4 linked regions of the Lonchura striata genome follow. The protein of the gene in region 4 purifies or fractionates together with the protein of the main gene of each other region. This does not show direct contact. Links are inferred from orthologs where the notes say so. Each region holds a gene or a part of one and is shown on either strand. Other genes may lie near its edges.

The links.
Region 1: the proteins of POLR3B (region 4) and POLR2K purify together in Homo sapiens (affinity purification with mass spectrometry; 3 studies listed by BioGRID and IntAct, with this or other methods). This does not show direct contact. The link is inferred for Lonchura striata from reciprocal best matches to the Homo sapiens genes POLR3B and POLR2K.
Region 2: the proteins of POLR3B (region 4) and POLR3H purify together in Homo sapiens (affinity purification with mass spectrometry; 8 studies listed by BioGRID and IntAct, with this or other methods). This does not show direct contact. The link is inferred for Lonchura striata from reciprocal best matches to the Homo sapiens genes POLR3B and POLR3H.
Region 3: the proteins of POLR3B (region 4) and protein POLR1D purify together in Homo sapiens (affinity purification with mass spectrometry; 6 studies listed by BioGRID and IntAct, with this or other methods). This does not show direct contact. The link is inferred for Lonchura striata from reciprocal best matches to the Homo sapiens genes POLR3B and POLR1D.

The regions. Positions count from the first base shown.
Region 1 is NC_134603.1:21,794,253-21,801,634, forward strand, and holds the start of POLR2K (DNA-directed RNA polymerases I, II, and III subunit RPABC4), read right to left. Parts: upstream 3,019-7,382; 5' UTR 2,831-3,018; intron 913-2,830; 5' UTR 910-912; coding exon 849-909; intron 140-848; coding exon 47-139; intron 1-46. UniProt on the Homo sapiens protein: DNA-dependent RNA polymerase catalyzes the transcription of DNA into RNA using the four ribonucleoside triphosphates as substrates.
Region 2 is NC_134607.1:58,368,361-58,375,384, forward strand, and holds the start of POLR3H (DNA-directed RNA polymerase III subunit RPC8), read left to right. Parts: upstream 1-4,020; 5' UTR 4,021-4,212; coding exon 4,213-4,323; intron 4,324-5,480; coding exon 5,481-5,577; intron 5,578-7,024.
Region 3 is NC_134604.1:69,173,869-69,180,827, reverse strand, and holds the start of protein POLR1D, read left to right. Parts: upstream 1-3,945; 5' UTR 3,946-4,050; coding exon 4,051-4,076; intron 4,077-6,959.
Region 4 is NC_134607.1:20,708,936-20,716,328, forward strand, and holds the start of POLR3B (DNA-directed RNA polymerase III subunit RPC2), read left to right. Parts: upstream 1-4,390; 5' UTR 4,391-4,427; coding exon 4,428-4,493; intron 4,494-4,990; exon of another isoform or gene 4,991-5,017; intron 5,018-5,899; coding exon 5,900-5,932; intron 5,933-6,454; coding exon 6,455-6,511; intron 6,512-6,592; coding exon 6,593-6,657; intron 6,658-7,014; coding exon 7,015-7,090; intron 7,091-7,393. Other genes in the region: TCP11L2 (T-complex protein 11-like protein 2), read left to right, coding at 398-642. UniProt on the Homo sapiens protein: Catalytic core component of RNA polymerase III (Pol III), a DNA-dependent RNA polymerase which synthesizes small non-coding RNAs using the four ribonucleoside triphosphates as substrates.

The sequences.
Region 1 (7,382 bases), on a different chromosome or scaffold from region 4:
ATCCACAGCTTTCCAACGGCACTCAAGTGTACTTGTAAAAGGATACATCTTTTGGTCCTTTTCTTGTACATTATTCTGTAGCCACATTCTCTGCATCTGATAGGATCTCTTGCCTTTATTTCATTTTCCGTATGACATTCTGATGTTATGGAGGAAGAAAAATGAAGTGGGGGCAAAGAAGAACAGCACTGTTAATGCACAGATAACTTTGAGAAGTTATGACAGTCAAATTCTTATTTGTGGCAAACAAACATAGCAAGTGTAATGAATCTGTATCAAAAGCTCAATGATAAGATACAGTGAAAAAAAAAGAGAAAATAAAAAGTAAGCTTCACTTATATTTAAGATAAAAGCAAATCTTGCTAAAAATCACCCAAATATTACTGCATAGAACACATTCCACACTTGATACTAGATCATCTACTAATGAAAATTTTAGTTCATCCCTCCAAAGCCCAAAGTCTATTGTCTTAAAAGACATAATATTCTAGGGATACCTGAAAACCACCAATTTTTAAGTCATCAATTAATCTACAGGTAAGAGAGAATCTGACTACTGTACTTCAGGGAAAGCTGAGTGCCCTAACAGCACTGTCAATAAAACATATAGAGATCGAGGAGCTCCACACAGCAACACAAGCTCTAGAGAATTATCTCCACAACACTGCATATGTACTCCATATATGTGTTACCATCAATGCATAAAGCTTTAAACATCATCAGGATATACACTGCAAGTATTTGTATCTATGTACCCTTCAGTATAATGACTAAGCACTATTCATTATTAGAACACTAAATCTCCAGTAACAAGTAATAAAAAAAATCATTAAATGTCTTTTTTCTACCTCCACAAATATAAATCATTGGCTGCTGCTTTGGAGGCTGAACGTCCTTCTGTGAATCCATGTTCTAAAACAAAAAATACACAACATGCACATTAGCTTGGGTTTGGGGTTTTTGGGTTTGGTTTTTTTTTTTTTTTTCCCAAGGCATACACAATCATTTTAATATCTCAAGCTAAACATAACAGAACATGAAATCACTTTCTTTCCTCCTTCCTCCCAATGTTAGGAATTTCCCTGCTGGAAACATAAAATTCAATAATTTCTTATATGCCACTCATGTAACAATGGTGCTAACAAAGATGGTAAGCCTTGTCATCTTTCCTCCCTCTCTGACACACTAGCTAACTCATTGTTCTAAGGTATTAGAAATATTGGGAACAGACTGTAGGTAGAAAAATAGCAGAAATTAAAAAGCAAAACAAAAGGGAAAAAACCCTGAACAATGAGGGGTCATGGAGATAAAATTCAACCCTTCAAATCCTACCAAATCAAGAGTAATAACTCAATGCTATTCTCCAAATACTTCTTAATGTCCTATAATCGCTTTGATTGTTCAGACATATTTGAAGACAAGTATTTCTTCATGGCATCAGACTAAATAGTTGCATATACTCCACAAACACTCCTCCAAGTTTTAAGTAATCCTATCCTACATGTAAATGTACATGCAACCATGAATTTTGAGGTGGTTACTGTACATAGATAAACACTTTTTCCCCCACCCAATTCAAGTCTAGGTGAGAACATTAATTATTTCCTATTAGGTTTTCTGAGGCTGCTGTTTTCCGTATTGCTGTTCTGACATAGAGGAATTCCTAACCCTTGTGCCAGTAAATAGCCTTCTTGATGCTTCCTTTGCTTCCCATGAGAGAATGGCTCTCAGATGCTTTTGCTTAACATTACAGCAAAGATTATTTCCCTCATCTTCAGAATTTGTTTCATTATAAGTTCAGCTGGGAAGATTATGATACTGAAAACAGGACAGGGACATTTCATACTTTAGGAGTCTGATCAACACTTGACAAACCATCTTGTTAAAACTCCCACTATGTCACTCCATTTAAGAGAACTTGATAAAATCCATTGACTTCTACAGCTTTCAAGTATGCTACACCATATTCATAGTGGCATCTTAACTCACATGTGCTATAGTTTTTTGTGTCAGCATACTGCACTAAGATATGTGCAGTCACCAATTACCACTGGAAAACAACGGACTCTTCTAAAACACAGAGCTGAACTAAGGTGGATCACAGTTGTAGCTAAATACCTTGGGCTAGTGCTGCTTATGGAGCAAAATTATACTGCTGCAAAGGGCAGCAGTGAACTAAAGTTCTGTGTTTTGCAGGGAGGTGCCATAGCTTAGCTGGCCTTTACACACCCTACAGCCCTATGTGCCACCAAGCTGACAGAGCCAACAGGCCCAGTGATGCACCAACACGTGCTGGGGTGCAGCCAGGATCCACTGCAGAGACGTGGGGGTACCATGCGCCAAGAGCACCTCACCAAATCACAGAATGGGAAAGGCTGGAAGGGACCGAAGTCGGTCATCTGGTCCAACCTCCCTGCTTAAGCAGGATCACTCTACAGCACACGGCACAGGAGAGCACACAGATGGTTCTTGAGCATCTCCAGTGAGGGGAATTCCTCAGCCTCTCCGAACAATCTGTTCCAGTATGCAACCCTGCACAGTAAAGAAGTTCTTCCTCCGATTCAGGCGACACTTTCAATGCCTCAGTTTCTGCCTGCTGCCTATTGTCCTAGTGCTTGGCACCACCAAGAGGAGCGTGGCTTCATCTTCTTGGCACCTCTCGCTTCAGATATTTTTGCATATTAATGAGGTCCTCTCTCCGAGCATCTCTTATGCACCCGTGAAAGAAGCCAACCCGCTCATTCACGTCCCGCAGAGCCCACGAAGAAGGGCTTACAGCCCTTCGCACAGCCCACGGGCCCCAGGCTCCCCATCCCGCCCCGATTCCGACCTCCTCCACTGTCCGCGGGTCTGGCGCGCAGAAGCGAAGGCCACGAGCCTGGTTCCGGCCTGTCCCTGCCCACCGCGGGCACGCCAGCAGCGCCCAGCAGCGAAGGGGACACCCGAAGGCCGGAGCAGGCACCCACCGGGTCCGCAGCTCCGCGGGCTCGCCGCCTCCCCGGCGCCCGCTGATGACGAGCGCCCGCGGGGGCGGGCCGTGCTCCGCCCCGCCGCCAGCGCCGGCCTCCGCGGCGGGGCGCGCCGCGCGGCTGAGAAAGGAGTCGGTATTCCGCTCCGGGTGCTAGCCACCCGCGGGAAAAAAGACAGGGGGAAAAAAAAGGGAAGAAAAAAAAAACAAACCAAAAGAAGAAGAAAGGCACACATTATTTTAAGACACAAGCTTCCATATGAATAGCAGTGTGAAGAAAGTAGGCAGCTGCATGGTTAGGTAACACTAGCCCCAAGGTCCCCGGTATTTTCATTATTTTATTTAGCTGTACTCAACATACTCGGGATAAAGAATAGCCCGCACCAGGTCTGGTCTTACGGCTGCGGAGTTTTAATCCACCGAGGTGTTCTGCCTCAAGGTCCTCTCTGTTTTCAGAAGCATTTTACCTAAAATTCGTGGATAAAGCCGGCATCTTGATATTTTGATGACGTGGTCGGTATCATATTTACCCACATGAAGCCAAACTTATATACTACAAACATATATGTTGCGCATTTTATGTGTAAGGTTCTATTATGAGAGAACTTCATATGTCGGTATTCCCCGATGTGCTGAACTAAAATAGTGCAAGCAAGATTTGAAACTACACCGGTTGCTCTTTGTCAGTGGTTCCACCTCGCTTGCGGTAGGAATTTTGAATCTTCGACTGACAGTTTGTAGAATTAGGAATCTTTGCTGTATTTCTCCCCACCTCCCACAATGTTTAACGAATACTATGTTTTATGAATATGCCAATTTAAACTACTAGATCATTCAAAGATTCCCTAGTTTAAGGAAAGATCTCTTTCTGTTTCTGAATACTGAATAAAAATTGTTTCCTAAGCATCCAAATTAATAAGGATGAGCTTTTATCAGTTGTAATTCATTGATGTTCTCCTACCAGCAAATCACCTTCATACAGGACATGTAACTTACCTAAAACGAACTCAGGTAATAATAAATAGTTGCAGTTTCCCTCATTTTGTGTTTAAATTAAACGTAATGAAATCACAGTAATGGCTTTAGACTTGCTTCTTCACACTGCTCTTAAAGAATAAAGCTCTGGAGTGCCAGAATAAAGCACAGGCAAGAAAAATGGTTTGTAAAAGGCAGAGGTACTGTTATAGGTTACTACTTGCATCCTCTCCTCTGCTACGGAGCTGTGGGTATAGGTGGGTACCAAGAGGTTTAAACAGAGGAGAGAAACAGCCTGGGCTCTTTATCGATAAAGGCACGGTAAGAAATTTCCAACTCCTAAAAAAAGCACCCCCCCCCACACACACCCGGTTATTGTTTCTCTAGGCTTACTGGTATTTTAAAAACTCATTTGTCAAACGGACAAATTTAAAAGGACTTACTAAAAATATCTCCATGAAAGATTCGGTTAATCCCGTGAAAATAATGTTTCCATTATTAATAAAGAAATAATGTAAATATTTTTATTATTGGTATCCCTTAAACATTCCCTTGGAAAAATGGGATGCTTTACCAGATCTTACAGCTTCACTTCAGCAGTTTCCGATAAAATCCGCCCCTTACGGGAGGAGCGCTTTGCTAAGTCCCACTCCCATGTGCTGGTAAATTCCAGCCCTAAAGATGCTCCGTTGGATTTAGAGTAGCAGAGAGCGTGGAGACTGTCTGAGAGATTCCCACTGTACTGTAAAGTGAAATAGTTATTGGGGAATTGGCAGGCAAATGAGAAGAAAGATTTGTGTGTCGAGATGGGGAAAGCACAGGGATACAGGTACTTTGGACAGGGGAAGGAAATGCAGCCGGAACCGAGCGCAGTGCGACTATTTCAGAACGTCTCACCTGGTTTCACTTGTTAGAAGTTGCGTTCTCAGGTCTTGGGGGGTTTTTTTTGTGTTGTTTTTTGGGTTTTTTTTTCTTGGTTGGTTTTTGTTGCGGTGGTTTTTTGGGATGGGAACTTTTTTTTTTTTAACACACTTTGTAGTGTGACACTTCTGTGTATTGCATAAAATGTCGCAATTACGACTTGCTAAATTTCTTGGATATTTTTGATCCAGCTCGCATAAATCCATGCAGATTTGAGTGACGGAGACAGAGCTTGCAGTGGCTGTGTCTCACTAGTAAGCTTCCAATTTTACTGAGAAGGTATTTTAGAAATAAATACAAATATTTGAAAAACAATTTTATTCAGTTCCTGTGAAGCAGACGGTATTACAGAAAGCACTTTCAGAAATCTTCGACTACCTTGAAAGAAGTTTCTAATGTTTTCTCCTTCTAAAAAGGAAGGGGGAGATAGTCCAAGAGCCTTTCTCTTTTAAGCCATAACTGTTACCTTGTAGTCAAATAAACAGATATTCTTTCCCTCGAAGTCAGTTTCCGCCGGCTCTGGGTCGGGAACTTTTAAGCCCTTGTTTCCTCGGCCCCCTCTCAGGCTGCCTCACACCAGGAAGAGCGGAGTTGCCAAAGGGGAAGGCTGACAAATATCAGAACCCACGAACAAGAGTTACGTTACTTAAGCCGGGAGTTTGCATATTAAAATATAGGTGTAGCTTTAAGAGCCAGTTTTAGGTCTCGCATTCAGGTCTGCCATTCCCCATCCCGCCGGTGTGAAGAATCACGCTATCCTTACCGAGCCCAGGACAAACATCCATCCACGTAGTCTAGTTTTGGCGGTTTTCTCGTTTTAGTTTATTTTAGTATGCAGAAAAACTAAAACCACAGCAAAATCCAGGAGCCAGTTTCTGAATTACTACAAGTTTTTTAACAAATTAAACAGGAGTAACCCTTAGGCCATTCACGACAGGACAGGGCGCGGAATAAGTACTCTGCACTGTAGCCAGGGAGAATGGTCCTTCCCGGGATCTCTGGCAAAAAGTACCTGGGGAGACTCTATTGGGTCCATGAGGACCTGTGCGGTGCTGGAGTCGGGGATCCTTCACCGACTGCTTTGAAGGTGATGTACTTGACAAACGCTCTGTGACTGTTTTAGTCCTGGGCTATCCGGTAAAAAGGTAATTAAGCTAATTAACTCAAATTAACTAGTACTCTTATAACCCGAGATTAAAGGCTGCGGCGCAGATAAGGGTTATTAGCGGGGAATGCCCCAGGCACCCCCGAGCCACCCCTCAGCGCCCCCGCCGCCGTTGCCCTCCGCCCTCGGGAGCGCAGCGGGCTCCGGCAGAGGCGGGAAAACCCCACCCTCACCGGGCGCCTCCGGGGAAGCACAGCAGGGGCAGGAGCGACTCAGGGGCGCTTCAAGCGTGGGCTGGGCGCGGCGGGGGCCTCGGGGCCCCGGTATCAGGAGTGAGGAGCGGGGCAAGCCTCGCTGGTGCTCCCTCCCGTCCCCGAGGGGCGGTCTCCTCAGGCTGCCGGCCGGGCCGAGCGCGGCGGGGGCGGGGAGGCAGCGGTTGGTGAGGCGGGTAGTTCAAAGCCGAGCGAGGGAAAGCGGCGGCGGCCGCACGCGGGGGGCCGGTGCGGCTGGGGAGAGCGAAGCGGCTCCTCGCCAAGGGCAACGGGCCCGGCCCGGGCGGCGAGAGCTCCTGAAGCTCCTCCAGCCCGCCTTCACTCCTGCTCCTCGCCCGCAGCCCTGCTCGGGGTGCCCCGCCGCCACCTCAGCTGCGCCCGGTGGCAGGGCGGCCTCCAGGCTCTGCTCCTGTGCCCACCGGTTTGCCGGACGAGAGGGCGAAGCGGTTGCTTTGCTCGTGTCCGGCATCCCAGGTGACTGAGACCCTCGGGTGCTGGTCCTCAGCTACATCTCATTTATCGCCGTTGCTGGGTAATTAGGCATTGCAGTTAACACATATTTGTGGAGTGAAAACTGTCTCAGCTGGGTAATGTTTCTCTTGGACCTCTCTCTTTTCTCTCCACATCCTTTCTCACTTCAGGTTATCACTAGGGGTAAGCAATACTTTGAATACACCGCCTTTGCATTGGAAGATCTTGATTTGCTTCACAAATTAGGGTAAGTGGCCCATATCATGCAGACAGGACTTGGCTGTGTCATCTTCAGTATTATTACCTGGAAGGTATCAATGACTTTGGGGTCAAAGAGCAGTCTTTTTTACAGATACCATATCTGTTTAAATAACAGAGAAAATACTTCTGTATCACCAAAACTTTGTCTTTATCTCTTTTGTAAGCAGTGGTGAACAGTGATTTTAAAAAAGGCAAAAAATGTCTTGTTCCATGCATAAGTGTTCTGTGTGTTACTGAGGAACACAAATTACTAGGAACAGGTGTTTCCATCCTAGAATTTGTCTAAGTTGGAGGCACCACTTACATTGGTTCTAGTAACCAACATTCTTCCTTCTCTAGGGTGCTTGGTGAGACTAAACTTGTTAGAAATTGTTCCCTCTCTAAATTTGTGAATCCTGTCCTAAATTTA
Region 2 (7,024 bases), about 38 Mb from region 4:
TTTCTCTGAGGGACAGAAAAACTCTTCAACTCCTGGATTCCAGCAGCTAAAGCTTAAAAAAAAAAAAACAAACAAAAAAAACCCCCACAGCCCAGCAACTGAGAACCATGCTCTGAAATACTGGAAAAGCCCCAATACTGCTGAAAGAGAGTCGAGAGACTTTATGGCTGTGCATAAACAGGTATGTACAGGCTCTGTGGATTCCTGGGTATTCACCACGTCAGTAGTACTGGGAGGAGACAAGTCAGCAAAACAAAGCTGTTCACATCATCTCCAGCAGCAAGACACTTCAGCAGCAGCCATAAATATAGTATAACTCTGAGCACTACCATTAGCTGAGGCAACACCCATATTTTACAGAGCATAATTTGGCTTTTGTTTATATTTCTACATTGAAGACAGCACTTGTGAAATATGGAAATCCTCCAAGGAGAAAACCTAGGTGGGAACAGAGCAACATCTGTCATGCATAGGCAGCCCAGGCATGCACTACTTGGGATTGGGGAGGGGCTACCTGAAGAAAGTGAGACTGGAAATCATTTCCCACAGCCTGGGATGTTCCTGGTGGAGGCTGAAACACTGAAATCCAGACTTGGTTTTGGGGTGATTGTAGCCTGGTAGCGGAGGCAGTGAAGCTTATCTGACACTGCCATCACCAGCCTTCTCTGCACACAATTCAGTTTCCCCAGCATGAAATCAAAGTACCTGCAAGTTTCAGCAAAACACACAGCTGCACAGAGAAGAAGAATGTTATTGTCCTTACTGAGTAGTGGCCCACAGCATTCAGCCCTTGTTGGCAATCACAGAACTGATATAGGAGAGAGATCCTGCACATCTTGCTTGGTGTCAGCACTTCATAGCATACGAAAGACCTCACCAACGGGACCCAAGACAGTATGAAGCAAAGCCTTGCAGACCTGCTGCTCACACAGTTGTTTTTTGGGGGCTGTGGATAAGGCTGAAGGGAGATGTGACTGATTGTATTGGGCACCCAAGAGCCCCCAGTGGGGCATGGTTATTGGAAGCATGGAAAATATTAGCTCAAGAATGCGCTAGAAATGGAAGCATGATATGACTCTGTCTAAATCCACTTCTCTCCATCTCCCATGCTCCCCCAGGTATTTCAGTCTACTATTCCCTGAGCTCATGCCCCTACTTAACCCTACAGTTCTTATATACAAGCATCCAGAGTGATCACCTTGCCAAAACCAGCAGTGCCTAAATTCTCTTTGTCTGATACCAAAGCTATTTCTTCCCCTGCTGTCAGGACAGGGTTGAGAACAATTTCCTCTTCTGAGTGAAGTAGCTATAGACACCTGCAAAAGCTGCACTAGGTAAAGGTCAAACCTTGCATTGCCAGACCTACATGAGGCCAGGACAGAACAGCAAGGGATGCAGCATATGTGCCAACAAAACTGTGCTGTGCCGAGATTAGTGCAGCTGTGACTGCAGTGTGGGAGAAAGGAGCCTTTGTAAGGCTCCCTGAAGTAGGACAAGAAAAGCAAGAAACACTAGGGATTTGGGTTGAGGTGTTCTGATAGAGTGGTGTCTGCTGTGCTGGCAGCAAAGCTCCTTGCTGAGACAGTAGATGTTGCTCCAAGAAAAAATGCTGCTTTTCCCAGGAGACAGGGGAAATCTTATTTCTGGGCCCACTATTTAATACTAACATGCCAAACATGGGCAGACCAGCCATGTTTATTTAAAAAAAACCAACATCCCCACAACCTAATAGACCCTAATGAAACACAGTAATTAAGAAGAAATCAACACCTCCTTATCCAAGACAGGTACCTTCTTAATGAGGCCTAACTAGGGTATTTCCAACCTTGTTTCACCCTCCCTTTCCCAGACAACTCGATGTTTAATGATTTCTTACCTAAAGTGCTCTCCTTACTGTCCCACCACATGCTGCTGGGGAGCGTGGGGGATGACACACTTAGCCTTAGCATCAAAGCCATGATGCTGACAGTGCAGTTTTCACTGTCAGCCAGGGATGTTTGGTTTTCCTGGTGGATCTTTTTTTAAGCACACTTCAAACAACCTCCTTTCACTTTCCCTGACAAACCTTAGACGTTAGTGCACCCCCCTTGTTTTCTGCCATCCCTCATGCTGCTTCTCCCTCACTGCAGAACACACCGAGGCCTCAAAAATTATACCATGGGGGTTGGTTTCTCTTTGGCAATTAACACTCACAAATTATGCCAGCTCTGTATGGTGGCAGTTTGTCCCTGAAAAAATCCTTGACCTAAGCATTGGGCAGACAGAGCTGTGAGGGACTTCCAGGTGCAAAGATTATAAACCCACCCAGGTTTGCTGGAGATGTGGGCAAACAGCTGAAGAAATGGCAGAGACTTTCATCTTTGGGCTCCTGAGTGCAAGACAGACATGGAGCTCCTGCAGCAGGTCCAGCAGAGGGTAACAAGGGTAAGGGGGGACTGGAGATCTTCTCTTCCAAGGAAAGGCTGAGGGAGCTGGGCCTGTTCAGGCTTGGGAAGACTGAGAGGGGACCTCATCAATGTGTATGTCCATGAAGGGCGCCAAGAGTTTGGAGCCAGACTCTTCCTGGTGGTGCCAAGCAATAGTGAAGTAAATAAACGGGCCAGGAGACCTTGTGCTCCTTTCTTGAGAAGGCCTTTATTAAAAGGATAGCCTATGGGGGTGGGGGCTCGGGGTTCGCGACGGATCGGAGTCTTTGCCCTTGAAGGATATGTCAAAAGATTCACTTTGCAACTCGTTGATCTAGGGGCTTTACCTCGCTCTGGCTCCTTTGCTTACAGCAATTGCTTCAGAAATTCTGCGGGTCCTCTCCAGCTCCTGGAAACTTTCCCTGCACGTAGGTGTGGATCATTTTGCTGTCTCTGCTCTTGGCTTGTTGTCTGGCTATATTCCGATTTATGTTGAAGTCCAAAAATTGATATACAGTAGACACTAGGCTCTCTGGGAAACGGGAAATCTTCCCTGGGAGCAACTTCCTGGGAGCAGCTTCTGAACTAACCGACGCAGTGTAAGGGACAGAAGGGGCTTCAAACTACTAGAAACAGCAAAACAAACTGGTAGGATTTCTTCTATAAGGGATTTTAACAAAGGTGTCAACGGCAGGAAGGGATACAGAGGCTCCGGGAGTTAACTGGGGATGCAAACTGGGTATAGGGCAAATACATAGGGGTGGAACTAACAACTACATGAACAAGGGAACTTCCAAACTGTGAGGAGGTAAGCAGACAAAAGCTTAGACATCAAATCCATTCATAACAATAGCACAGCAAGCAATGGGGCAGAAAGTGGTGCCCAGGGAGTTCCACCTGGCCGTGAAGAACAATTTCACCGTGCAGGTGCCCGGCCGCTGAACAGATCGCCCAGAGAGGCTGTGGAGTCTCCCTCACTGGAGAGGGAGCCCAAGAACCCTCTGGATGCCATTCCTGTGCCATGTGCTTTGGGATGAACACCATATCAAAATGTCTGGAAAACACTTTCTAGCACAATCTGAAGCATTAGAAAGCAGGCATTCTTTATCTGCACAGGGCACATAGAAGACTGTCTGAAAATTTCTATTCTCTGTGTTATTTATCAACCCTGCTTGAGCAGGGAGGTTGGACCAGATGCCCCACCGTGGCCCCTTCCTATCTGACCTGTTCCGTGCTTTTGTGATCTTTGCTGCCTTATCTGGATTGAAGGTTACGAAAATGATAAATTAAACCAGAATAGCCGCAGTCGAGAACTGTTCTAGCTGTGGCACAGGAGAGCGCGCCCAGGTACCCACCTGCTGGAGGTGGAGGGGAAGGAGCGAACTACACAGCATCCCTGCAAAGGACGCCAGGGTGCCGAGCCCCTTTCCGCGTTTATATTGGCCAAAACCAGCCCAAACCCGGAGATCCTCGGATCCTTCCCCGCTCCGGGGGCAGCCGGGCCCGCCCCGCCCGAGGAGGGACAAAATGGCGGCTGCGGCTGTCAATCAGGGCGCGCGACCCGCCAGCCGAGCGCGATTGGCTGCGGCGGCGCCGGAAGTGGCGGGGGCGCGCGGCGCGGCTCCGCGTGCGGCGGGGCTGAGGGCCGCTCCCGGCCCCGCTCCCGGGCCCGCGCCCGATCCCTTCGGGATAGCCGGGACCCCGCCCCACCGGAGTGGCCCCGCACCTTGGAGCGCCTTCCCCTTCCCAGCCTGGCCCTCGCAGCGCTCCAATTCCCGAGGTTGGCGTCTCCTCGCCCCCCGCCACCATGTTTGTCCTGGTGGAGATGACTGACACTGTAAGAATTCCTCCCTGGCAGTTTGAAAGGAAACTGAACGAATCTATTGCTGAAGAGCTAAACAAGAAATTGGCCAATAAGGTAAAACAGGGGTCACGTATAGGTTGATGTAGGCATCGCAACGTCCCCGAGCGTTCCTTCCTTGTGTTTGTGCCTACTGAGGTGCGCGGGTGAGATGTCAGAGTTGTTTGGATGTGAAGGCCATCCCCCGCGACTGTAAATAAAGAGACAGCCACGTATCATCTCAAAGGGGACATTTTTCTAATGGCTGATGTTGTAATGGGAAGATACTGAGGCACCAGATGGGGCAGAGGAGCACGGAAGAGAAGTGAGAGCAGCTGCTGGTTTGTGTTAAAAGAAGCAATCCAAAACGCAGCCTGAAAAACAAGTGCAAACTAATCCATCCAGTGGGGAATTTAAAGAAAAAAAACAACTATATAAACACATGTCGAACACTAATACTGGAAGAGAAATGATGCTGTTAGTAGCTGATTTAGCCTGTGCTTATTAATTGAAATACATGATGGCAATAAGAAATTAGTCTTTAATGCAGCATATAAAAAGTGTTTTCTTGTGGCCCTGGAGGTCAGAGTTTCCCTGTGCAGTCCCAGGACTGTGATAAGTGTACGGCTTTCAACATGGAGCAGGTGCAAAACTAAAAAATGCAGCTGTAAATGTGAAAGGAGCTCAAAAGAGCAAGCTGAAGGGATCTAGGTTATGAAAAGCAAAAGTCTTCCTTCATCCACTGATGACTGGTGGATGCCTCAAATTTCATAGACAGTGAAGCTGTCTCAGAAGTAGCAGAGAAACCAAGAGTTTGCCCTGTGTCTCCCCAGAGCTGATATAATGAAGATAAAAGGCAAGCCTGGAGGCTTCTGAGAGTGCAACTCTAGCAAAAAGCGTGTTTAGCATTTGGACAAACTGAGGCTGGTGAATGATGGGGAGTTCTTTACTGTCTTAGCAGCTCAGGTTCTCTCACCGCTGACAATTTCCCCAAAGGTTTCTCTTTGTAGCAGCGTTTTTTCCAGTGCCAGTGAAAATGTGTTCCCACAACACTTGGATTGGGGTTTCCCTATGCTGCTGGTGGTGTTGAAGGCAGTGTTCCAAAATAACCTCCGTCCCTCTATTGCTGCCCTTTGAAAAGGTGTGCAAAATGTATGAATTCCATAGTTTGCTTGATTTTACCTGGTGGTTTGCTTGATTTACTGCTCTTGATTTTTTTTTTTTTCTTTTATCAGGTTGTATACAATGTTGGGCTCTGCATCTGTCTGTATGATATCACAAAACTGGAAGATTCATACATATTTCCTGGGGATGGTGCATCACATACGAAGGGTAAGTGCTTTTCCTCAGTTACATTGTGTTGCAGAAGCTTAATTAATGATCTGGAAATGTAAGATGAGTTCAGTTGTTAGAGACAGTGACAACGTTAAGTTGACAGCCTTAGCTCTGTTCCTGTTAGGAGGGCAAGAGGAACATGGTGAAAGTCTCTTATTTTCTTTGCTGCTTTGGGTACAAATACAGCTTTAAATAGCCAGTCCTTCTTGCCTTCTCCAGCAGCCCATCTCTGTTCTACAGTTAGAGCCATAGGTGTGGGGTAAGAAGAGGGTTAATTTAATTGAAGGTAGAAAGTCTGCACATAGAAAATAAGTTGTAATAATTGGTTTGCATTTCTCTGATATTTTTTCTTTATGAAGCATATTCCCTAGCTAGGATAAGAAACCTGTTTCTACATGTAGCATTTGCACAGCATTTAATGCTTTTGTACTAGCTGGGAGTTTTACAACACTTTTGTAGAAACTAGATTGGTTCATCATACATTTCTAGTGACTTCTTTTAATAAGAAATTACTCATTTCTTTACTTTGATTCTTGGCAAATCTGAGTGAAAACTGGAAGTAAGTGCATAAAAGCAAATTTCATTTTTTAAAGTTAAAATAAAGGTTTAAACTGGTAAGAGATGCATTTTTCTGGTTTCAGTTTACAGTGTGAAATCATAGGTTGAACACATGAAATATCTCCTGTTAGAAGGGAACTGCACTGACTCTATGTGCTTCCCCTTGTCTAAGGGGAGTAGAACTCATTTCCTAAAAATAAAAGCTTTTCTAATACTGAAGGAGGATAGGCTTTCCTGCTTGCTTTAATCTCCATTCAGCTTCTCAACTTAGAATTACTCCTTGAACTGAAAGAAGAGAACTTTTCTATCCGAGTTTGGGAAAAAAGTCTGCTTTCAGAATCTGGTGTAACACTTTGATAAATCCCGCTGTGTCTGGTAATAACTCTTTCTTTAATGCACTGCCTAGTTTTATGTAAAAGAGGAGCACTGAGGAGGTACAACTAAAATTATGTTTAATTTCTCAGAAGCATTGTTTGACTGCGATTGTCTTAGTGTAGCATTCTTGTAGTAAGTGCCATGTACTTAGTTAGAAACATTTTATCTAGCTTGGAGGAAAAATCCAGTTATGTTAGAGAACCTTGTTTAATCTGATAATACTTGATTTAGAAGATTTAATTTAATGGAAATACAGCATTGCAGACAAATATAAAAGGCAGAAGTATTACAAGAAAGTATAATTTCAACTGATACTCTTGACTGTGAGACATTGTGCTTCCATCATAATTTAATCAGAAGCCAGCCATGCTCCATGTTTATCATCTTACACTTTCTCTCTGTGAACTTCTTGCAAAACTGAGGAGCTGGGAACAGGACACTGCTGATCCAGCTGCTGCCAGAATATGTACAAACCAGTTAGGAACCAGATCTCTTATTCCCATTTTTCTAT
Region 3 (6,959 bases), on a different chromosome or scaffold from region 4:
CTCTTAACAACATGCCACAACTCCAGAGCAATATCAACTTGCTTACTTGAAGCAAAAATGAGACTGCAAATATTGAGCTATATAACCCCAAGTTTCCACATCAAAAATAGTTTCCATTATTTGAATGGAAAAAATGCAAACCAATTTGAAATCTTGTACATTCACAAGTTATCTGACTTTATATCAAACAGCTGCATGCTTTGGGTTTTGTGTCCACCACCTAACACACAGCTCAGCAGGAAAGACTCTGCAAGAGATTCTGCCCCTGTTCCAGCCCGCAAATTATTTGCTGAACTGACATCAGCTGAAATAAGCACCCATGAGAACATAAATGACTGACATCTCTGGTACCACCAAAGTGCTTCAGAAACAAAAGACATGCCTGTAGTACTGCAGAGCACATTGCAAGAATGAAGCCAGGTCAGGTACAGCACCGAGACCCCCTGTAACACAACACTGGGGCTGGGGACATCTCCACATGTGTCATCAAGGTGCAGCCCAGCCCCATCAGCCACCTACACTATCTCATACAGAATACAGAGTAGTCAGTATGAAAACACATGACAGGTTCAGCCCATGAATTTAGCAAACATAAATCCCGAAAACACTTACATGCAGGCTTATCATTAAGCCTCATTGCAAAAGAACTATCTGGATGTTTAAAATCAAGCATATGCAAGCATAAATATCTACAGAATTTGAACAAAAAGAACACAAAAAGTACACTCCATAATATTATTAATTTTTACTGCTCCATAGATACCTTAACCTATCAATTATATAACTTAATACTAATATTTTAAAGCATTTTCATCTTCAAAAGGCACTAGAATTTCTAAAGGACAAACTCCACTGACCTAATAAAGCAATTAAACAGCATGCAAGTCAATGGCGTCACATTAAAAATGCTTCTGCAAACCAAATCAACAAAGAATTTCCAAATACCAGAGAAGCCACTGCCATATCAAATAGACAACCAGCTTCCTCTGGTGCCTTTTACACCAGGGAGCATTTTAACACGAAATAAATGTTGTTTTCTCATTAGTTACAGCCGTTCGTGTCTAGTAGCTCTTTAAACAAACAACATTTTGCTGATGCAAGGCAATAATTTGTATTTATTTAACATCTAGTACACATTTCACTTTGATATTGCTGGTATAACTTCTTCCCAGTTGCTTTCAAATATATTAACTTTTTTTTAGAAGTACAGAAAAATGAGATTAAATAAGAGGGGGGTATTTTGGCATATTTTCAGACATAGTTTTAACTGGTAGCTAACAAACTTCTGCTGTTTTTTCGTAATATAAATATATTACTAAAATATATATCCATAAATATATACCAAGATTGAGACCGCTCAGTATGGGTAAAGGCTTACAAAAAAAGAAACTTTCACTGAGGTGATTAGTGCTTCCATGGTAGCACATAATAAACAAATGCCAAATGTTGCAATGCCAAAGCCACCATTTTTGGCAGGACAGGTTTTAGTAAGCTTATTTTTTAACCCATCTCAGGAGAACAGTATTTTTCCACCCAATCACCTGCTTACATTCCTCTTGCAAAGTTTTGTCCCTAAACTGCCACATTTTTTATTGTTTTGGTAACAGAAAATTCAGGTGCAGTCTTAGGAAAAGGTACTACCTTTGCAAATCTCAGACCTGAGTCCAAGGCCCTGGGCTCCCTCATCCTGAAGTCACCAAGCAATGTAAAGGGTAAGTATAGTTAGAAATTCAGAACTGAAAACTCATGGCAAAATTATGAGTTTTAAGATCCATACATTTTCAAATTGCAACAGAACAAGCACTTTAAAACATAATATTATGACCTTTTTTATTTAAAAAAATCTACTTGGGCACAGTAGTGTTATTTGCAGCCTGATGACTCTGGAGTTAATAATTTTATATTGTACTGTGTTCAGGAGAGAGGATTCCTTAGATATCTGATAATTAGAAAAAAAGAATAATTATAAAGGACTCCTATTTAGTCTTACAGTTCTAGCAAGTACACTGATATAACTTGCTTCCATTTTAAGGAAATTTGTTTTAATAAAGACAGGGCAGCATATGGTACTAACATGTTTATTTTCCAAGTGGAAGGGACACTAACCAAAACCATCTGATGTTTCTTCATCTGATGTTTCTTCCTAAGCCTCCTTGAGCTGGATTGCAGCTTAGAATAAAGCATTACAAAGCCAGAAGAAGTGGGTAGAGGAATAAAAAAATGAGTAATTCAAAGTCTTTATCTAATGAGAGCACAGTTCAGACCAGTTCTTATTTTGAATATAAGTTTAAAAGTACTTATGATTGGAAATTTATTTCCAGAGACTATCAAATGTAGTCCAAAGCTAATCTGTCACAGACATTTTTTACTCTGCACACAGACAAAAACCAAACCCCTAAATCATGTAATTAAAAGAGGAATTAAAGGAAGCTCAGAAGTACTTAATAGATTTCTAGAGAAGCAAACAATCAGTACTGTGCATTATGAACACAGTAAGAAAAGTCACCAGGGACTACCAGATTCACCCCCACCAGAGCTCCAGGAACGGTTTTCTCAGTTAGTTGACCAAGTACTATGATTCCATCAAGAGCAATGGTAATTTTAAAGTACGCCTTGTTAAAAGTATAAAAGACGAAAACTTTTCTAACCACATTTTCAGTGCTAAGAGCTAACAAATGAGGGGACAAACCAGGGAGTGCGGGTCAGAGCTCCGAGGGCTAGCGTGAACGTTTGGAAACAGCTGCCAACCACACGGACTCAGCGGCATTTCGCAGGCAGCCCCGAGTTCCTCTGGCGCAGCTGTAAAACACACAACCTGAAACCCGCTCCTGCAGCAGGGGTTCGCTCGCAGCTGTTCTCTGCCTCCCCCGCACGCAGAAATCTGACTCCTCTCCAAGAAAGAGCTTCTTTAATGAAGCCACACGAGAGCAGCATAGGTGTATCGGGGGACCCAGAACCAGGCGCTTTCCAAGTGGGTCTCCAGCACCCGAGCTCACAGCTCAGCCTCGCAGAGACGCGCTGCAGGGGCCGCCGGGCTCAGCCCCGCCGCCGAGCCGGGGGCTCCAGGGCGGGGACGCTGCTCCGAGGATCCCACCTCAGCCTCAGCCACCTCAGCACGGCGGCTCCGGAGCTCTGCCCACTCCCGTACTTGTTGCCTGCGCAGAGCTCAGCCCGGCGCCGCCGCCCCCGCGGAGACCCCCGGTGCCGCTCGGCTGAAGGAGGCTGAGCGGGGCTGAGCGCCCGGCACCGCGCGGGGCAGGGGAGTTACTCACCGCGCCGGCTCCGCGCAGCGCTCTCCTCCTCAGCCGCGCCGGCTGCGCCCGCCCCGCCTTAGGGGAAGCAAACTCCGGGCAGCAGCACTTGGAGAACGTGTCTCGTCGGGCCGGGCCGGGCCGGTGCTCCCGCCTCCGCCCCCCGCCGCGGGCAGCGGCGCGGCCCAAGTGACAGCGGCGCTCCGCCACTCCGGCGGCGGCCCCGGGCGCGGGGCCGGCCGAACCGCAGCCTATGGCAGCGGGGCCGGGGCGGGACGCGCTGGAGCCCGGGGCCGGGGTGTCCCCGCCGCTCGCCTGATCGGCTGTGCGGAGCCCGGAGCGGTGGGGAGCGCGGGCGGGGCCGGCGCGGAGGAGGGGCCGGGTGGGGCGCTGCCCGCCCGGGGCTGCCCGCGGACCTGTCCCCGCCTGCCCGAGCCCTGCGGCCGCGCCCAAGGAGCAAACCCAGGGCGTCTCCGAGACTGAGAGCCCCAGCGGCGCTCCCACCCTCCCACACTCAGTCACCGCCCCGCGCCTGCTTCCCCCGCCCTGCCGGCGGGGCACGGGGGTCCTGCCCGCCAGGGAGCCCACCGCCCCGCTCTCCTTTTGGCGGGGGGCGCGACCACCGGTGCCGCAGGTGCCCGGCGGGGTGTGGCGGGGCCCGGCTCGCCCCGCCCCGGCTCCTCCCGCCGGGGTCCTCGCCGGCCCCTACGCCCGCCCCGCTGCCACGCCCCCCGGCCGACCGCGGGTGATGGCGCCGGCCTGCCCCTGAGGAGCCGCAGCGGGGAGCGGTGGGGCAGCCATGGAGGAGGACCCGGAGCTGGAGAGGTAGGGGGGAGCGACAGCGCGGGGAGCGGTCTCGAGAGCGAGCGGCCTCCACGCGGCTGCTGCGCCGCTCCGGGCCCGGCAGCGCCTCCCGCGCCGCGGGGCCCGGGCAGCGCGGGGCTGCGGCCGGCCGGCTCCCCCGGCCCGAGCGCTCCGCAGAACCGGCCCCGAGCTCCGCCGGGCTCTGCCCGCTGCCCGCAGACAGCCCCTCCTGTGGGCGTGCGGCCAGGGCGCGCCCCGAGGGCAGCGCGGCCTGGGGCTGCCTCTGCCGTGTCTTCCGCACAGAGCTTTGGGTGCGTGCTGATGTCGCTTAGAAACAGGATTGGAAGGTCTTGGATGGTTCACCCCTCATTAGCTACAATTTGATGAGTTGTGGACTTGGCAAAATAAATTTTAAAAATCCCAAAACACCTTGTGTTGTTAGAGATTTCAATTTTCAGTTGTGCCCTTTGACTAGTTGTTAGAATTGTCGTGTTCTTGTATGAGAAAAATACAAAATGGTTGGTAGTTATTTTGTCAAAAACTAAAACTGTTTTCTATTTGGCATTTCGTTGGAACCAGTGGATTTGTCTTGCTGCACGTTTTGAGTTGCAGTGCTCTCAAGCAAACACTGAGGAATAAAACATTGATTTCCATATTAGGATACTCAAAGTAGGCCTCTCTTGCTTTTGTTTTAGGAATAGACTTTTGGTGTTTATATCACAAATGTTTTGCAAAACAGTGCTATTTGTTTGATGGGAATTTGTTTTTGCAAGCTTATTTCTGGGTTGTTCATTTTCCTTACGGCTGTTTAAAACAACTGTTACAGTGAAGTGATGACCAGAAGCTTTCTGAACTGTTCTCATGGTTCTCTCCTTTAACTTTTAAGAAACCGTATCTGGGAATGCTTACCGAAAATAACTTTTTTCTATTTGTATCTGGCAGGTATTTGAAATGTGCCAAAAGCAATAGTACTGAGACAGTGGAAGGGCTAGAGCGCTTAATGCTTTCTAAGAGGCTTTTAATTCTTGCTGAGCTGTTTCTGTTCTCAGATCATTAGTTTAATAATTAAAGCTTCTTTTGGTGTATGCATGAATGTTATTTTTACTAGTGCCATTCTAAACTTAAACCTTTTTCATTCATGGCAAGTTGAAACCATGCCACTGTTCTTCCATGCTGTCTTCTGGTTGCTGCTGCCGTGCTGGGGGCCTGGGGTTCTCTGGGCAGTTCAGGGCATAGCTGACCTCACCAGCTGTAGCCAGCTGCTCCACAGCCACCTCCTGACTGATGCTCTTCTTCCCAGAAACTACATTTGAAGTTTTACCTTCCTCAAAGGCTCACTCCAAGTTAGGATTTGCTATTCCTGTTCTGTGGCAGTGTGGTAAATAATGAGGATGAAGCTCAGTGTCACTTGTCGAAGTGGCACGGTAGGGTTTAGCTGTTTGGTGTCACCAATCTGTGTCACTGTGCACCTCAGAGGGTGTTTAGTCGGCCCCAAACACATTATAACTACAGTGTAGTGCACTTGACAATTGGCTCTTCCTGTCCTCGATCCACCTATCATCAGTTACTTTTTCATACCTTAAGTTTTCATGACAGCTTACTTTGATAGTAGCACCCTGAACTGAATTCAGTTTGTGCTGTGTGCATTTAGAGGGTGTACTTTGGCACTCTAAATAGTGCTTCACTGTACAGTCTTCAGTACAGAGCCCTTCCAGTCTAACAGAGATCTTTCTTTATCCTTTGTGTTACAGATGTTATGTCTTAGATTCATACTCAATAACATACTGATCATATCATCCTGTGAATAGTGTAGTAATGGCAGTTTAGGCTTATAATTTTTAAGGGTTTTGTATTATGGGTTTAACATACAAATAATAGTGTTTCTGTTCTGTAGCCATAGTATTAATTCCTTTAGTGCATTTTTAGTGTTCAAAAATGGGTTTATGTGGAATATTTTGAGAAGTCTGTCTCTGAATCCAGGCTTGTCTTGCAATGCAGACTTAAATAAAAATTCAAGGTTTTTGTACATGTGCTTTTTATTTAATTAACCATGAGGGAGAAAGAAGCGTAATATTTTTGTGCATGCTTTTTCAGGTCAGAAATTAATTTTGTGTCCCAGTATTCCAAAAAGTGATCTGTTAAGTCAATCGCCCTATATTTTTGTTACTAAGAAGTCTTTTCTTCTAGCTTCTTTTATTTTTATCCTTACTGCCACATTTCCCAATATTATTTTTCAGTTTTACTGTTTCTGACTCTCACTTGATCTTGCTTTTGATGTTTTCCTCACTTTAATATGAAGTGAGGTTTTCCTCGAAGCTGAGTACTTATAAGTTCCTGTGTGACTGTTGCATACAGAATGCAACAGTCTGTGGGTTTTAAAACTCTAAAAGCTATAAATACCACAGATGTGTAAAACAGTAATATTTGCTACATTCTACTGAACTACATCCTCTACTCCATCTCACCCAGTAACCTCTGATGGAAGAAGTATGAACTAAGATTTTCCCCTGTGAACTTGCTGGTACATCAGTGAAGACCCTGAGCCTTAAGGTTCCATGTGATTCTTAAGAAAATTCTAAATTATGTTAGCATATGATTAATGGTATTTGAAGTTATGATGTAAGAAGGAGGTGGAAAAAGGGAATCAGCTAGTAGGAGCTGTTCACTTTCTTTCCTCTGCAAGCACCTGAAACTGCTTTTCCTAGTTTATTTCAACTAAATATACACTGAGATATTATGTAGGTCACCATTTTCATTCCTGCATAAAAAATGAAATCTTTCTTCCCCCTCTACTTCCTAAAGTATTGCCATTGTGGTTCTGTATGTTTGAAGCACAGAAGATGCGTTGTTTCTCTTCAAATACAGAGGAAGTGGCTTTGTTATACTGTGTGTCCATATCCTTCC
Region 4 (7,393 bases):
ATGGTGTTCTTGGTATGCTGCAGAGTGTGGTTAGTCACATCAAGAAATAATTGTATAAGTGCATGTAGAGACACGCCTTGGCAGCCTAGTATTTTGGAGAAGAATTTAGATAAAATGAGTATTGTTTAGTCTTCTTTCTATCCATTCTGGGTTTAAACCTTCTGAGTTTTTTTCCTTCCTTTGAGTCTACTTCATATTAATTAATGTAACTTGTTGCAGTAGGTTTATGCTGTGTCCACCTTGCAGTAGCTAAACTTAAGCTTACAGTATTGTTTCCCACCCCAAAACAATCTTGGGAAAGAGTTGTTCATTACATTGTTGGATTTTTTGCTGTGCTGATGTGCAGGGTACTTACAAAGTGACATTTGTTCTGAGCATACTTTATATTCCATTTCAGACAAACGAATCCAGCTCTTCATGAGAAGCTTGCTTGCTCTTCCAAGTTTTCAGAAGTGTATGCCTACTATGCCAGGAGGCCTTTCTGTGATTCAGACAGAGATAGAGTTTCTGGGATCTCAGTATGCAAGCATTGTAAACTTCAATAAAAAAGTGTATGGACCATTCTATGCAAACATACTTAGAAAACTGCTTTTTCCTGAGGCAGCAATGGAGAAGACAGAAGCCAAAACATCTAGCAATTAAAAAATGTACCCTTTTTTTAATCTTCCAAGACAGTGGGGAGGTCACAGATCTCTAAGAACAGCCTACTCCAGTGACTGTTGATGGGGAAAGGTCTTGTAAAATGTATACAGATAGTTTCTGAAATTCACTGTAAAGAAATTAATGTCAAGGTCATATATATATTTTAATAGAAAATTGTTTGTTTAATGGATTGTCACTTGTAATAGCCAGTGAATTATTAATTTCCATAGCAAGCATTTATTATGACTTGCAGTAGGAAAGATCTGGCAATGTACTTGATTTTTTGCCACCATCAAAACAATGTTATTTTTCAACTCAAATATATTTACATATAGCAATGCATATTAGGAAATTACAAAACAACTGTAGATAAAATGTACTATGCTTACATTGTATTTTTGTAGAGTAACATCTCGGACATCAATTATGTTTCTGAGAATACTTTGAAGAAGACAGTATAGCATAACTGCTTTAGTAACCAATCCTAGGTTCATACTAGGCAAAGTTGAGGTCCTCCTGCAATTACTGGACCCAGAATTTTGCCTCTGTTACATTAAGGAAAGCCAGTGTTACAAGCTGTTTGCAGGATTGCAGTTACAGAAGCAGCATTCACCACTTCAAGTAGGAATAATTCAGAACTTCTCAACTCTAATTGGTATTAATGATAAACACCTGAGAAACATGATGGTGGGGGGGTGGAGTAAATTTCTGTATATAAAGTGTTTATAAGCATCTTGTTTATTCAGTGGAGGTCATACAGATCTTTAATATGTGTATGTATTGATCATTGATCTTAATAGATGGGTGTTCAGTATTTTTAAGTTAGGTCTTCCTAACCTTTATCCCCAAAAGCACTTAACCCTGACCTTACAGTGTACCACAGAAGAGCTGCCCCTTTCATGCCCTTATCCAATAGAATGTAAATTTTTCACAAGATACTCTTAGGCCTGAAAGCAAGAAGTTGAGTAATGAGTCATTTTTGAAAATATTATTAGATTCACTTTTTTATGGAGTGTGTGAGAAATGCTCCTGTTTCCCTCCAATTCCTTTGGACTGGGCCCCAATACTTAGTGCCCACTTAAGGCATTGGGAATCTTGCATACAGAAAACGAATAGAATTGAAATGGAGAAAGGTGGAAGGGAACTTCTTTAAGTTTACACAGACTTTATCTTGCATCTTTCAGATTACTGGGATTATCAGATAGTGCTGGAATTCATATTATAGACATGTTCTTGTCTATGAAATTGAATAATTTACTTGAAAATGATATTTTACTATATTACCATATAATACTCATTTTAAGATGTCATATATAGAAAACCTCAGTGTGGTACAAGTTAGAGCTTGTTTTTAATGTTTTATATTACAATCTATTTTTATGAAGAGACAAAAATAACCTGTAAAAGTGTAATGTGTCACACAAATTGTTTATGTACATTACAGTGTCTATTATAAAGGTCTAAAAAATCCTGGGCATTATTAGCACTGTGGTTTTGTAGTCCATTTCTAGCAAAGGAAATTACTTCTATTCAGTTCTTCAGTGTCCAAGGACTTTGGTCACAAGTAAATGTTAAGGAAAACTTTCTTCAAAATGCCTTTTTAGAGAAAGTTCTCTAGTGCACTTCTGTTCTACCCCTTGTGAAAATATTGCACAAAATAAACATGAATACATATTTTAAAGGGAACTGTTTCCTGGAAAACCTAGAAAAAAGGAACTCTTAGACTATCATAACTGTGCCACTAGGTAAGCCAGGCTTGCTCAGATAAATATGAAATTTTGGTAGGCAATTCAAAATAATTAAGAGAAGAATGCATTTCAAAAGCAGGAAGAGGGAATGAATCTTAGTGATTTGCTACAATATTAGAAGTTACCTACATGATTTTGAACTTCAGCCAAAGGAGGATTTTATGAACATTTGAAGGTGTTAATATGATTATGAACTTTTAATTATAGTGTTTTATATCCATTCTATTGTACAAATAAACACAAAGTTTAGCTCTTTAATGAGCTGGGAAAACTGTCATAATAGTTTTTACCAGTAAATACTCAAAACATAGCATTTTTTGGAGGGGTTTGGTGATTAAAGTGACTTGCAAAGGGCATTTTATAGCATGGCCTGTGTTTCAAGTGATTGTTTAATGTGTTTTAATTTAATGTTTCCAACAGGGACATTGCATCTGTTTAATGTCACGTGTTGCATGCTGTTTATGCTACTGTGGCTGAAATGCACTTGCCTCTACTCAGAAGTTGTCCTTGTGAAACAAGATGCCATTCTGTAGCAGCTTTATTAAAAAATAAGTTTTGAGGATTTGTATGCATTAAATTTTGTTTGTGATACTAGCAGTGGTGAAAAGTCATTTATACGAACATTATTAAATGCAACAAATTGTTGAATGCCAAAGATAAATGACTTCACTATTCTGTTGTGACTGTTTTTCTGTTACTTCTCAGAAGCAGCTCCTTTGGCAGAGCACTGAGTTTAACCCAGCTGTACAAATAATATTGAAGACAGTTGTCTGCTTAAATCTGACAACTTGGATGAAGGAAGTATTGGGTTTGCATGGCAGAGTTGGAGGAGCAGTGGACTGCAGGGCTGGCTTCTCTGAGAACTTCTCCAAGCTTCTCCCTGTGCCCGACAGAGGCTTTCCATGGATTAACCATGGATTGCCACGTATGAAACAAATTCTCCACTGACTGTTCCTTTAGGCAGGAGACCAAATGGAAGGAGTCTGAAATGTTACTCCTCTTCAGGGTAGGGGCCTTAGTGTCCAGGATGGGTGGAGCTCAGACCCAACCCTGTCAGTGTTACTCATGAGGAACCCGAGCCACAGCAGATAGATGTCTGTATGCACTGATTTCACACTCTGCTTTTAGATCTTGCCAATTATTATATTTATATATATATATGTAGCTCAAAACCTTACTGCCACAGGAATGTGCAGAGATCACTAGTGCTTCTTGTTTCATCTTGAACTGGGGCAGATGAGTAGCCCCCCATTTGACTGCGATTTTGGTGTCTCTAAGCACCGAGCCTTGTACAAGAGAACGAGCAGGTTTGTAGGTGATTCAGCTACAGCAGTCAATAATAACAACAACGCTAAAAGCTGTTTCCCCGCGTTGCTTTACATGCGAAAAAATACAGGAAAGCCATTTAAAGCCCGACTGCTCCATGTCCCCGCCGCCTTCCGGCGGGGATTCAGGGCAGACCTCGGGGCGCTGCCAGCTCTGCAGTGGCCCAGCGGGGCGGGCCGCGGGGCACCGTGAGGGGCGGGCCGCGGGCAGAGGGAGGAGCGGCTGCCGGGCACCGTGAGGGGCGGGCCGCGGGCAGAGGGAGCAGCGGCTGCCGGGCACCGTGAGGGGCGGGCCGCGGGCAGAGGGAGGAGCGGCTGCCGGGCACCGTGAGGGGCGGGCCGCGGGCAGAGGGAGCAGCGGCTGCCGGGCACCGTGAGGGGCGGGCCGCGGGCAGAGGGAGGAGCGGCTGCCGGGGGCTGTGAGGGGCGGGCCGCGGGCAGAGGGAGCAGCGGCTGCCGGGCACTGTGAGGGGCGGGCCGCGGGCAGAGGGAGGAGCGGCTGCCGGGGGCTGAGGGGCGGGCCGCGGGCAGAGGGAGGAGCGGCTGCCGGGCACTGTGAGGGGCGGGCCGCGGGCAGAGGGAGCAGCGGCTGCCGGGGGCTGGGCGCGCTCAGCGCTCGGAGGTGCCCGGGCAGCGCGGGGCCGGAACCTTCGGGGCGGCGCCGGCGCGCGGGGGACGCGCTGCGCCGCAGCGCCGCGGCGCGCGGGTGGCCATGGAGGCGCTGGGGCTCGGTGCGCTCACCCCGGAGCAGGCGGCGGCCCCGGTCAACACAGTGGAGGTCAGCGGGGCAAGCGGCCGGGCTCGCCTCGGGCTCTCCCGGAGCGTGGCCGGGCTGAGCCGAGCCGGGCTGGGGGGGAAGGAGTCTTGTGGCGGCGCACACGTGGAGCGGCCGCTGCCCGTGCTGCGCCGCTGGGTGTGTGTGGGTGTTTGGTGGGGGTTTGCTTGGTCCGAGCTGTCCCTGGGCAGCCCCTCGTGAAGCCGGGCCCCGTCTGCCCGGGCTGTGTCCCGCGGGGTGGCAGGGACCTCACAGCTCGTGTCCTTCCATCCCCCTGCCATGGCACGGACACCTTCCGCTGCACCCTTCTCCTTCCAGCCTGGCCTTGAAATATTTACTTAAAATTAAAACCATTAGTCTCATCCTTAGGTCATCAGTTTAATTGCATTACTGTTTAACAGATTCAACCCCTTTTTTTTAGACATAGCATTTAAATTATAAAAAATCAAGCACTCTTCATCTTTCCAGACTGTAAACGCTACTGCATATCAGCCACAAGGGACCAGTGGTATAAGCCACACCATTCTGTACGTCTCTTTTTACTGCATTAGCTTTGCCACTATTAGATGTTAAATTGGGATCACAAGCAAGATTAGTAGATTAACAAACAGTAGCAGTGAAGGCTGAAAGCCAAGAGCACCATCAACATTTCTGTGGGTAGAAGAAAGCTAACAACTTTCTACAGGTGTTTTTGGTTTAATTAATTTTGTAGTATTTTAAAATGGTAGTATATGGAGAAGCATATGAGGACTGGGAACACTCCTCCTAAATAAATGATTTTGTCTCTAGCCAAAGATATATGCAAGTTTTTGCACTGCCGTGGTGGGGAAAACATGGGGCTGACATAGAGATGTTCCCTATGCTCATTAATGATTAGAGATGGGAGAAAGTTTGTAGGAACTTCGATACACTTAGCACTTGTCAGTACTTTTGCTAAATCTCTGTAGGATTTAGGGTCCTGGTAAGTGTTACAGCTGCTCCCAGGACTGAGGTTCTTGCATGTATTTTGTAAAGCAAATGTTGTAGGAAATCTTCCCTTTTTACAAATATAATTTACAGTGTTAACAGAACAAAACCAGAAAAACATTAGTTGGTCTTAAATGAGGACATGGTGTTAAGGAGTTTTCTCAGAAAACTATATTTTCACAGAAGTTACTCTCAGGAAAGGCCGTGTGCAATTGCATCCCAAATACTGCTTGTATGGTTTACTGAGATGATCCAGGTAATTTTTATCCACCTCTGTTGGCTTTAGACAGTTGTTTCTTGGTTTTTTCCTAAATGGATCTGATTTTAAACAATGTTACCGTTCAAAAAACAACAATAGGAATAAAACATGTAGACAGAGGCTCAGGCATGTTAGATATTTGGCTAGTCCTTGGAAAGATGTCTCAAACTGTTTTTGTTTTCAGGAAAAATGGAGACTTCTTCCAGCATTTCTGAAGGTTAGTGCTACACACTCATTTCATGGTGTGACTATTTCATCTCCTTTCTAACTTCACATTCCTTTCTTCTGGCTCTTACTATTTCCCAGAATACCTGTCCTCACTTTTCTGTGGATTTTGCCTTTTGTTTTAGTTCCTTGCAGTTATCAGTAGACTTCTTCCATAGATTGTTTTCTTGATTAATTTAAAGATTATTTTGTGGAGATATCCTCCTAGAGGTTTGCATTTTGGTGTGGTTATTCTCAGTCCATAGTGTATATATGTAATGTTTCCAGATTATTTTTCCTGTTTTACTGGCTCTCAGAGATGCTATCCATGCTCTTTATATGACAGTTCCAGTGTAAACCTGAAAATGTAGTGGAGAACCAGAGTGAGCATCCAGCCACTTCCCAGAAGTTTGTCAGCTGAAAGAATTTAGCACAGTTATCCAAACCCAGTTATAAAGGCTTATATCTTAATTTCTGCCTTATGTGATTAATGTTACTGAAGCTGATTTTATTTGCTGCGTGCATTATTTTTCAGGTGAAAGGACTGGTGAAGCAGCACATAGACTCATTCAACTATTTCATCAATGTTGAGGTAGGCTTTCCTGGGTGGGGGAGAGTGGCTCTTAGTACTCAGAAAAGGCCATGGTTCCATTTTGTTCTTTTTCTCCTCCAGATAAAGAAAATCATGAAGGCAAATGAAAAAGTGACAAGTGATGCCGACCCAATGTGGTATCTGAAGTAAGCATGAGATGATTTCCATATCAGTAGCAGCATGAGTACTGTCTCAGGGGTTTGTTTATAAGCACTTCTGTAGGTATAAATCAAGAAGGTGTTTTTCATGACTTATCTCCTACTTTATGCAATGAAATATGGGAAGATTTAAAGGTTTACTGCACATGCAGGCTAAATTTGAACTAATTTGACCACAACTCAAATACAGTGAGTTACTTTAGGAAGAATCATTGGTCATTATTGTCAAATTGTCAAACTGTGTTCATCAAAATAATTTAATTTTTCAGTATATGTAAAATTTTGCTTCCTTCAGATTCTTTGAAAAATATTTGCCTCATTGCTCATTTTGAAACTGTATTACAGGTACCTCAATATCTATGTGGGTACTCCAGATGTGGAAGAAAGCTTCAATGTGACACGACCTGTATCACCTCATGAGGTATTAATATTTGCATCTGTCTTGTTGAGTTTTTTTGTCTTGGAAAATAGCTGCATGTAATTTTGAGTACATGTGTGTTACATTTGGTAGTGCATTGCATTCCACCATCACTGTAAAAGCAAGCTTCAGAGACTGAAACATCATTACATAAATATTTTTAATTTTATTCTAAATTGTTGAGGGTTTTTTTTTCCTGTATTCAGTATTTTGTGTTAGGTGAATTTGAGTGGGTTTCTATGAAAGTAGTGAAAAGTATACTTCTCTTGCTTCATCTTGTGGCTCTCCTCATGACAGAGCTGAAGT